Linked DNA regions of Arabidopsis thaliana. Changing the gene in region 1 together with any one later gene gives a genetic interaction. Each region holds a gene or a part of one and is shown on either strand. Other genes may lie near its edges. The genes, in order: MYB23 and GL2.

Evidence for each region.
Region 2: of MYB23 (region 1) and GL2, changing one enhances a phenotype caused by changing the other (phenotypic enhancement), as found in Arabidopsis thaliana (one study listed by BioGRID).

What each region holds. Positions count from the first base shown.
Region 1 is NC_003076.8:16,125,631-16,130,318, reverse strand, and holds MYB23 (myb domain protein 23), read right to left. Parts: upstream 2,595-4,688; 5' UTR 2,471-2,594; coding exon 2,338-2,470; intron 2,209-2,337; coding exon 2,079-2,208; intron 1,248-2,078; coding exon 851-1,247; 3' UTR 658-850; downstream 1-657. UniProt on the Arabidopsis thaliana protein: Transcription activator, when associated with BHLH2/EGL3/MYC146 or BHLH12/MYC1. Regulates the epidermal cell fate specification. Mediates the formation of columellae and accumulation of mucilages on seed coats.
Region 2 is NC_003070.9:30,035,093-30,042,041, forward strand, and holds GL2 (HD-ZIP IV family of homeobox-leucine zipper protein with lipid-binding START domain-containing protein), read left to right. Parts: upstream 1-1,863; 5' UTR 1,864-2,000; coding exon 2,001-2,058; intron 2,059-2,283; exon of another isoform or gene 2,284-2,404; coding exon 2,405-2,511; exon of another isoform or gene 2,512-2,613; coding exon 2,614-2,888; intron 2,889-3,524; coding exon 3,525-3,642; intron 3,643-3,725; coding exon 3,726-4,262; intron 4,263-4,351; coding exon 4,352-4,456; intron 4,457-4,550; coding exon 4,551-4,941; coding exon of another isoform or gene 4,942-4,997; intron 4,998-5,024; coding exon 5,025-5,296; intron 5,297-5,380; coding exon 5,381-5,467; coding exon of another isoform or gene 5,468-5,497; intron 5,498-5,540; coding exon 5,541-5,921; 3' UTR 5,922-6,348; downstream 6,349-6,949. Other genes in the region: RPS17 (ribosomal protein S17), read right to left, coding at 6,381-6,830. UniProt on the Arabidopsis thaliana protein: Transcription factor involved in the determination of epidermal cell identity. Required for correct morphological development and maturation of trichomes. Regulates the frequency of trichome initiation and determines trichome spacing.

The DNA.
Region 1 (4,688 bases):
TTTCAAATTCCAACGTACGAGGTCTGGTCTTATCTAAAGTATGAATATGTATGATAGATTAATCGTCATTGATTTCAGAACTCTAACATTAGTCAATGTAATTAATGTATAATTAAGAGACACAAAGAGCCTAACCTGACAAGACCTCATTCATTTTATAAAAATCTTACAAGCGGGTGATACGTAGAATCAAGGCTTGTAACAGCTGGATTATCTCGGTTGACCATATTTGTTGACTTAAAATGAAAAAATTTCCGACCTTATGCAAGCGAAGATTATATTTTACTCTCCTTTTATCATTTTAGATTTTCTCACATATTAAAACTATACCATTTATTTATAAATGTTCGAGTATAAATCATTATTAGAAAGATGCCAAACTAAATGATACAGTATAAATTAGATATTGGTAGTCTGTATTTTCCACTACACTAAAAGTTAGGATTGACCTTTTTTTTGGAGAATCCAGAATTAGATATAGAAACCAAGAGTTAGTTTTCACAGCTGAAAATGCACTAGTTATCACTTTAATTTGATTAAGTTGTTCTTTTCTGTACAAAATACGGAAAATCTTATGTGAACGCCAATGTACGAATGAAGTAGAAGTATAAACACTTAACTTGTAAACTAATAGGATATTTAAGTTGGTTACATTAGGGACATAACCAAATAACTTTCTAGTATAAGATTTTTTTATCAACTGATCATCCTTACTTTTACAAAAGAAAGTACAAAAGCTACAAGCAAATATTCGGAAAAAAATTTAATTGTATTCATATTATTATTATTGTTCATTATAATCTATTATTCGATAATTAATTACTTTTTAGAAGCTAATCATCAAAGATATTCAAAGGCAATACCCATTAGTAAAATCCATCATAGTGAGTGAACTAAGCTCGAAGTCGTCTTCAAGAACCCAAAAGGTATCGAACAGATTTGGAACCGTAGCTGCAACTTCTACGTCAGTTGGTGTTGCGTGGACTAGTTTGGATTTTGGTTTGAGTTTGGATTCGTCAACTAAAGTGTCGAACCTTAGAGTTGAATTTTTTCCACCGGAGATCTCTTGATGAGAGGAGGACGTTGTGGTTATAAGGGCCATAGACGGTGGAGACTCTACACCGCATGCGGCTTTGACGGCAGTTGAATGATCTCCGAGACCAAGTTTCTTGCTGAGATGTGTGTTCCAGTAATTCTTTACTTGGTTGTCTGTTCTTCCCGGAACTCTTTTCGCTATCAACGACCATCTAAATATTAAAAGAATTTACGATGTTAGATTAATATTTTTATTTGTGGTCTCTTAATCTTCAATTATAATAAATAAATATTGTATTATACACTATATGGATTTTCGAATGTGCTATAAATATGTGGCAAACTTTTGAAACAAGAAATCTTGTAAAACGGAGTTAATGCTTATGCATGGACCTATATAGAGCATGTGCGTAATACATGTAGCCAGATTATGTATGTTGTAGATGTTTATATGAGACATGTGTATATATATACAGATGATCCATAAATGAGTACAATTATGAATCATTGTTAGGTTCGAGAAAGCATATTTTTTGAATAGAAACCTAGCTATACAAATTAATGGCCGAAAAAACAAAGGACAGATCTAAGATTTTTGATTCAAATTTACGATCCGTTTCTTACTACTATTTTTGAATAACCATTATTTGCTTTGTGGACGTTTGTAAATAGTAGCTTAATAAAATACACTTATTTTATGAATAAATGAATATAATATATCAGTTAAATATAAGTAATCTATATCACAACTAAACAATTTAGAGATGTTTCAACCAAAAATAAATAAATAATAATAAACAATTTAGAGATTACCGTGAACTAAGGATCGAACAACAAAACATATATTATAAATATATAAATTATGGATTAGATATATGTGATATATAGCTAGCAAGCTGTACACATATAAACAATTTAAAGATTCACGTGAATGCAGCACCGAACAACAAAACACATGATCTAACATATATAATACTATTAGAATTGTATAAAAGAAAATTAAGCAAATATATATCTTTGAATATATGGAGAAAAAAAAGAACCTGTTGCCGAGGAGCTTGTGGAGTCTGATGATGAGATCTTCTTCTTGGTCAGTAAAATTGCCTCTGTTAACATTAGGGCTTAAGTAGTTCATCCATCTCAACCTACAGCTTTTCCCACATCTCTTGAGCCCTAATTATCATCAAAAGTTTCAATCTTTAGTACTAATTTTTATTTCTTAGGACAAGAAAGAGAGAAGTAAGAGCAAGTATACCAGAAGAAATAAGAGAGTACTATAATAGAAAGAGAGAGTATAAATACCAGTTTTCTTGGCGATGCGGTTCCAGTGGCCCTGGCCATGAGTTCGGACATAATCCATGAGGATCTTGTCTTCTTCCACTGTCCATAAACCTTTCTTGTATTCATGTTCTTTTCCATCTCTTGTCATTCTCATTCTTCTTCACTTTTCTTGATCCCGAGGAGAGAGAGAGAGAGAGAGAGAGAGAGAGAGAGAGAGAGAGAGAGAGAGAGAGAGAGAGAGAGAGAGAGAGAGAGAGAGAGAAAGTGGCTGAGTCGGTGATGATTAGTCGAGCCTGACTCTATATATATATATGATTCGTGTGACGTATATATTGTTTTGTTTACATGTATATGTGCGTATATATATATACGTAAGGACATGTTTGTTTTGTTTGCTGTTGTCTCTCCAAAAAGTCCGTATATGGTAAAGTCAATCCCTACATTCTTTTACCAATAAGTCAACCTAACGAAATTGATTTAACCATTTAAACGGGTGTAGATATAGACAACATGTTCTTCTTACTAATATATGAGAGAATTCATCAAATAAAATAAAGTATAGTATTAGTTAGTTGTGGCAAAGTAAAAATATGTTTTTATCAAAAAAGGAGATAGAGGATTTGAAGAGTTTGTTCTCAAATTGATTAATAGATGGATTTAGTAGGGAAACTATATAAAGAACTGGAAGGGCTTGTTGACTCTCTATCTTGTTGGTTTTGGTTGAACAATACTAAAAATATGTGATCCGAATAAACTCAATATTCCTCAACTATTAGTTGAAAACGGTGTACTATGTTTCTTCTATTGTATATTTTCTTATAAGAAAGATTTGGAAACGCTTTGCCTAAAAATTAAAAATCTAAAATTTAGTTGAGATTTAAGAGCAAAAACGTCCACGTAAAATTGTGGTGTGTGTTAACACCCGTTAGAAAAATATTTTATTGATCTAACGAAATAATTTACTTCATATTCCGAGTTTCAAATTTCTTGCTCGTTATAATTTACCAAAAGTTATAAATTAAATTAAATTTGTATTATATTTTTTTGTAACACTATATATCTATATCTGTTTCCTTACTTTTTTACACCTGTTTTACATATGTTATACTCAAGCCTCACATTTTGTTTTTCATTTTAAAAATGTATTGATAGTAAATATGTTTTGAAAGAAAAATCTGGGATTTATTTATAACCAAATTTATCCATATCTAATAAAGTATGTAAAAACTGTAACAAGATATGTCTAGGTAGACATGTGTATCCCAACTAACAAGTTAAGTAGAAGTGAAAATTGAAAAAAAGGAAGGTAATTACTATTGGACACAATAATATTCCCTTGGGATAGACAGTAGGCAGTTTTTACTTTTTATATTAATACCAAACATAGAAGATCCTCTGGCTCATCCAGCTAAGATATGTCAATATGTCATGTGTGTATATGTTCATATGAGTATTATTTTTTGGATCGGATCCCAATGGAGGGAGTTGAAGTCGATATATATAGTATGAAACAGGAAAATACAACTTTGACAACAAAAAATATAATATACGAATATAGTCTGTATATAATAGTTTTGTTCAGGAAATAGGAATACACAACTTTGACAAAAAAAAACAAAAACAAAAGAGTTTAACATGTAAAATTTGCTTTAAGAATAGTTACTATTCTCCAAACAATGTTATCAGTTATAAGTTATAACTAAACTATAGAATTAAACATCTTTGATACAAAAACATAAGTATCCGTGATACCAAACTCTAGACAGTAATGTAATATGATAATCACTACACTAAATATATTATGTCGGGCATATGAATTATGTACGTCTATAGATTATAGCTTCCACTTGATTTAGCCTACTTTTATTAGTTTTATGGATAATTAATGATATAGGACCTATAGATCCTTTTAATTCCAAAACTTACTTTCAGATCAACCCAACTAGTTGATGTTGATCATCTAATCTATTAATTAACTACACTAACATTCGTATTTCATACATTGTATTCGTAAAGTCCTATAGACTAAAAAATAAGCTAAGCAATCTTAATTCTCTACTAGGTTTTGACATTGCATGGGATAAAATTTTCAATAAACATAAATTACTATATTAAGAAATGGTATCATAAATATGATATTATATAATCATAAAGGATCTTCCTAAAATATTTCATGAGAGAAATTTCTCCAAAATAGGCATAATCTTAAAGTATATATCCAAGAACAACTATACCCTTTTATAATCTTTATTTTGTTATTTACTAAAATATAATTTCCTTTCTTAAATGCATTTGTCAAATGATACTTTAGTTATATATTATTAGAAAAAGAAAAAAAAAATAGAAATTAACCATTAAATTGTGTAATTAAA
Region 2 (6,949 bases), on another chromosome or scaffold:
AAACCCTAATTAAGTAGAAGTATTAATCGAGAGCAAAAAAGAGAGAGAGAGTCAGTAGCCAAAAGGAATGAATGGAAGAAAGAAAAAGGAATCTCTATAGGCAGCATATATTCAAGTAATTAATTAAAGTAGATAGATAGAGCAAAAGGAGAGGTTAGGAGGCATTAATTAATTATTTAAGAGCATGTGGTGAATGTAAATGTTTATGGTTGCTTCCCTCTCTATACATTATGTATCTACCTTTCCTAACTAACAATTCCCTAGGCCGTACGACGACTAACAAAGAAAAAAACAAAAGAAACTGATAAAGCTTTTGAATTGTAGATAAATCATCTGCTACAGTTATACCATTATATATCTTATTAAAGACCTAAGTTTCCTTCACTATACGTCTTCGTCCATTTACGTACGTATTATACGGACGGTTTAAGCTACTATATCTATATTGTTAACAATGTAACTGTTGAGATATATCTTGCAATAATATGTCATGGTGTATGCATACGATAATATGAATCAATGTTTGAAATCTTGACGTGCCCGTGATACAATAAGATGATCAAAATTTCAAATTTTGTCAAATATTAAAACAACATACACATACACATGTGTCCAGGTGGCATTATAAAATGTATATATGGTGGATATAGAGAGAGAGGGAGATGCGTATAGTGAATAGGAAAGTAAGTAATAAAGAGAGGGTGGAGGAATTGGAAAGGGGTTGGAGGCAAACCCATAAAGAGCATTCATTTCCTTTTAAGGTCGCTGAAATTAATGAGTAACGATCGGTCAATGCCTCTCGCTGACCTTTTTCTTTTTTTACAACAACAAATAAAAATAAAATAAATTTCGACGTCTCTTTCCGCTGCTGAATTACATTTGTTGAATTAATTTTCTCTGCTTACGTACGTCTTCTAAACTTTCTCTATCCGAATTCTTTTTTAACTTTCTAACTTATATTCAACAACTCTTCTTTCCTGCCTTTACCGTTAGTCTAATTGTTTTCCTAATACTGCTACGTACATACCCCTACTATACTAGTCAGTGTATTAGATTCGATTGGGATTAATCCAGGAATATAGATATCCCATTAGTTTTTATAAAAATATTGGAAGAGGACAAGTCTCAAGCAATTTAGGGTTCCATGTAGCGCTGCAATATACTGTTAGTAACTCTCTCTTACCCATATATTGTATATGCTAATTCTTATCAAATATATATATATGCTTCTCCCAGAGTCCCAGTTTCCTATAATCCTGACGCAATTATACTAATAGAGCCAAGTTTACATAATAAAGTATATATGATTAATAGATAGGGTTTCTTATTAAGCCATATCTTAAATTAAGATGTGATGATAGCGTTTTGTATAAGTTACCAATTGTTTGAAAGAAGAGATCATCACAATAATAAATCATAAGTAGTAGTATATAGTAATAAATAAATACACAAGTCATAATAAGAGTAATGAGAGGATAATTAAGGAGGGAAGAAGAAAGCAGAAAATGCGGTTGGAGAATTAGGTGCTAAAAGTTAGTTGAGTCCATCTCAGTATCTAACGGTCAACTCTCTCTCTCTCTAGAGAAAACAATTAAGAAATCTGACATACACATATGTCTCTCTCTCTCTCTCTCTCTAGTCTATACACACAATTCAATTAAAGAAGAGACAGAGAAGTTCGTCTTTTTTGTTTTTATACCCTTAAATCAATCATGCAATTGTAACCCTTCCTTCTTATTCTCATTCCTTCCCCCCCTGTCTACAGTAATCTATAGCAACGCCATTATGTACTACTTTTAACGGATAATTTGCTCATGTTTCAATATGGCTTCATTGTATATATGTTCAAGTTCTTCTCAATCCTTTATATCATTCCAACATAATTCATATTAAAGTTAGTAGCTGAAATTGGAAGGCTGATATATTTTCCATAATTCAAATTTGAATTTTGCTCATCATATATATATGTATATATTAAAAATCGAATATTAAGAAGAAAAATGAAGTCGATCGATGGCTGCCAATGCTGTAGCTGGCCATGTTTTAAACTACTCAATTGTCGGATTGAAGTATAGCCAAAATATATAAAACCGTAAAAGGACTAAATATAATAATATAATAGGTATTAATTAATTAAAACTAATTAATTATAAAAGAAGCACCTAAAAGTCAAGAGCAGTAGAGAAATGGAAGAAATATCTGAAAAACGACCGCTTATATATATATGTATCATTGGAATTGAAGAGGCTATATATATATATATATATATATATATCGATCTTAGCTTATATATTAATTGAAAGTACATTTTGGTGTATAAGTAATTAAAGAAGAAAGAAAAAAAGAGAGATAATATATAAGGAAGAAGGAGTGCGAGGAGAAGAGGGAAGAGATCATAATTAAGCAAAGAAGCTAGCTAGGGACAGGATTTGTATGTCAATGGCCGTCGACATGTCTTCCAAACAACCCACCAAAGACTTTTTCTCCTCTCCAGCCCTCTCTCTATCTCTCGTATACTACTCTCTCTTTTCTACATACATGTACTTGCTAGCTCTCACATAAACATATATTATATATATGTCTTGATTTTAATGGAGATAGGAATATATACAGGCTGGGATATTCCGGAATGCATCCTCCGGCAGCACCAACCCTGAGGAGGATTTCCTGGGCAGAAGAGTAGTTGACGATGAGGATCGCACTGTGGAGATGAGCAGCGAGAACTCAGGACCCACGAGATCCAGATCAGAGGAGGATTTGGAGGGTGAGGATCACGACGATGAGGAGGAGGAAGAGGAGGACGGCGCAGCTGGAAACAAGGGCACTAATAAGAGAAAGAGGAAGAAGTATCATCGTCACACCACCGATCAGATCAGACACATGGAAGCGTACGTTCGATATAATTATTCCATCCTTACCTAGCTAACTAATTAAACCCCCCACCCCACTTTTTAATAAGTATAAACTTAATAATTATGCTTCACAAATTAAAACACTTAATTAGGGGATTCCGATTCATTAGGGCTAGCTTCTATCAAGAAACATTCATTAGTTGTTTTTTCCGGTGCTCATATTTCTTGATGTTTTATAAGTAATTATGATTTTAATCCCTTTCTTCGGTATATACTGTAGTACTTAATTAGTGGAAGAAGGAGAAGGTGTCTTGCGTTGAAGAGCAATTCTCAATTACGCACCTTCAATTCTCCATTAATTTCACATACATATATATACTTAGATGATGTATTCATACAAATATATTGCCGATCGATGATATATGATCCAGCATTAGTTTCAATGCGCTTATATGGTTTCGGACGCTTACTCGTTATTATTCCCCGTCTTCTCCTGACATGACTGTAGGTACATGCGCGTTATAACGTATATAAAGGCTTAAACAATAAAGTGTTAATTTGTTTCATCACAATTAAAGCTGATCAGTAATAGTATACATATGCCTAGTTAGGGTTCAGTTGCATGTAAAGATTTTCATCTTTTAGAAATGTCTGAATTTGAGGACGTTGCAGGCTATTCAAAGAGACACCACATCCGGACGAGAAGCAAAGACAGCAGCTGAGCAAGCAACTAGGGCTGGCCCCTCGCCAGGTCAAGTTCTGGTTCCAAAACCGCCGCACACAGATCAAGGTAATGTATATCTTACGTGATATGGATTTTTGTCTGACTATAGTAGTATATATATAGTTTATGAATCAATCATGCATGGACAGGCTATTCAAGAACGGCACGAGAACTCCCTGCTCAAGGCGGAACTAGAGAAGCTGCGAGAGGAAAACAAAGCCATGAGGGAGTCTTTTTCCAAGGCTAATTCCTCCTGCCCCAACTGCGGAGGAGGCCCCGATGATCTCCACCTCGAAAACTCCAAACTGAAAGCCGAGCTCGATAAGCTTCGTGCAGCTCTTGGACGCACTCCCTATCCCCTGCAGGCTTCATGCTCCGACGATCAAGAACACCGTCTCGGCTCTCTCGATTTCTACACGGGCGTCTTTGCCCTCGAGAAGTCCCGTATTGCCGAGATTTCTAACCGAGCCACCCTTGAACTCCAGAAGATGGCCACCTCAGGCGAACCTATGTGGCTCCGCAGCGTTGAGACTGGCCGTGAGATTCTCAACTACGATGAGTACCTCAAGGAGTTTCCCCAAGCGCAAGCCTCTTCGTTTCCTGGAAGGAAAACCATCGAAGCATCTAGAGATGCGGGGATTGTGTTTATGGACGCACATAAACTTGCCCAGAGTTTCATGGACGTGGTACTTTTCCATTATTTATTACTGTTACCAGCTACTATAACTTATTCTATGTGTATAAAAAGGAATTGATGTGTACGTGTAACGCGCAGGGACAATGGAAAGAGACATTTGCATGCTTGATCTCAAAGGCTGCAACGGTCGATGTTATCCGGCAAGGCGAAGGGCCTTCACGGATCGACGGGGCTATTCAGCTGGTGAGTACTCATCAATATATACATATAGTGATAATTGATGAATGACGACTCAGCTGATACATGGGATGGATATGGTTTATAACTATTGTGGCAGATGTTCGGAGAGATGCAGCTGCTCACTCCGGTCGTCCCCACAAGAGAAGTGTACTTCGTGAGAAGCTGCCGGCAGCTGAGCCCTGAGAAATGGGCAATAGTGGACGTCTCGGTCTCCGTGGAGGACAGCAACACGGAGAAGGAGGCTTCTCTTCTGAAATGTCGAAAACTCCCCTCCGGTTGCATCATCGAGGACACCTCCAACGGTCACTCCAAGGTCACCTGGGTGGAGCACCTCGACGTGTCTGCATCCACAGTTCAGCCTCTCTTCCGCTCCTTAGTCAACACCGGTTTGGCCTTTGGGGCTCGACACTGGGTCGCCACCCTTCAGCTCCATTGCGAACGCCTTGTCTTCTTCATGGCTACCAACGTCCCCACCAAAGACTCTCTCGGTCCGTCTATATATCCGGATCCTCCATTTACACTCTCTATCTTTCTTTATATATAACCTTTTCACTCCTCTGTTGATAATCAGGAGTTACAACTCTTGCCGGGAGAAAGAGTGTGCTGAAGATGGCTCAGAGAATGACACAAAGCTTCTACCGCGCCATTGCTGCATCAAGCTACCATCAATGGACCAAAATCACCACCAAAACTGGACAAGACATGCGGGTTTCTTCCAGGAAGAACCTTCATGATCCTGGCGAGCCCACGGGAGTCATTGTCTGCGCTTCTTCTTCGCTGTGGTTACCTGTTTCTCCAGCTCTTCTCTTCGATTTCTTTAGAGATGAAGCTCGTCGGCATGAGGTACCTTGTCAAATTCACACACATTTAAGCAAACAAGAAAAGCGGTTTCCACTCATATATTTATCTAACGATACATATCATCAGTGGGATGCTTTGTCAAACGGAGCTCATGTTCAGTCTATTGCAAACTTATCCAAGGGACAAGACAGAGGCAACTCAGTGGCAATCCAGGTGCGTTTATTTTGTCTTCTCCTCCTCTAAATCTGTCTAGGCCTTGATAATCTGAATTTCTATACATTTCCAGACAGTGAAATCGAGAGAAAAGAGCATATGGGTGCTGCAAGACAGCAGCACTAACTCGTATGAGTCGGTGGTGGTATACGCTCCCGTAGATATAAACACGACACAGCTGGTGCTCGCGGGACATGATCCAAGCAACATCCAAATCCTCCCCTCTGGATTCTCAATCATACCTGATGGAGTAGAGTCACGGCCACTGGTAATAACGTCTACACAAGACGACAGAAACAGCCAAGGAGGGTCGCTCCTGACACTCGCCCTCCAAACCCTCATCAACCCTTCTCCTGCAGCAAAGCTGAATATGGAGTCTGTGGAATCCGTGACAAACCTCGTCTCAGTCACACTACACAACATTAAGAGAAGTCTACAAATCGAAGATTGCTGATGACAAGTCACAGCAGATATTATTTACCTATATATAATTATATGATAATGTATAGCAGCAGTGCATTAAAGTTTTGTACAAAAACGACCAGCTCTCTCTTCTCCAATCCTATTATTATCCAACACCTTTTTGGTCCATTCCATTGGCAAATGAACCATAACAAGAGGAGCAAGAACCGTAGAATTAGCAGAAACAAAAGTCGGATCACTGAGACCACAAGCACACAGTAGCAACAGAAACATATTAATTCACATTCTAAATGTAACTGGAGGTGAAGATGAAGTAAGAGCAAACAATTGGTAGTCGGAAACAATCAGATTGAAAACACACTCATGGCATAAGCAATGAAATCACAAAAGCATTCCATAAATTACACTGGTTCCGGGATACACAACAAACAAACAGAAGCAGAGCAAAAAAAAGACGGCTTTACCAAAAGAAACAAAGAGCAATCATTCTCTACGCCGGCTGCTGAGACTCCAAGGGAAGGCCAAGGAGTTCATCTCCTCCGGCTTCGGCTTTCCTGGCGGCCCTTGCGATGACAGGAAGCGCCACAAATGATTTAGTCTTACTGATGGGTCTGCTCTTTTCCAGTCTGACCACGTCGCCAACCTTGAACTGATTATCGGGGTCGTGAGCTTGGTACTTCTTCTTCATCCTCACGCGCCTCTTGTACTTGGGGTGGGGAGCCAGCCTCACCACCTCCACCGCCACAGTCTTGTCACTGGTTGCGCACACCACGCGCCCCTGCATCGTTTTCATGGCTCTGATGACCGGAACTAAAGCGGGCATTCTGTGGTTCGGGAAGGAATTGGGCTTAGAGAGAGATGAGAGAGGAGTGGAGCCATGGGCGAACGGAGACGAAAGCTTGAGAGCTTGCAGAGATGAGGTTAGGGACGACGTTATCATCCTTCCGATTTGGAATCGAATCGATGAAAATGAAGATAAGGTGAGTACTACTACTATTTAGAAGGGATGTATACAGTATACAGATGGTAAATGGGTTTTACAATAAACTGGGCCTAATC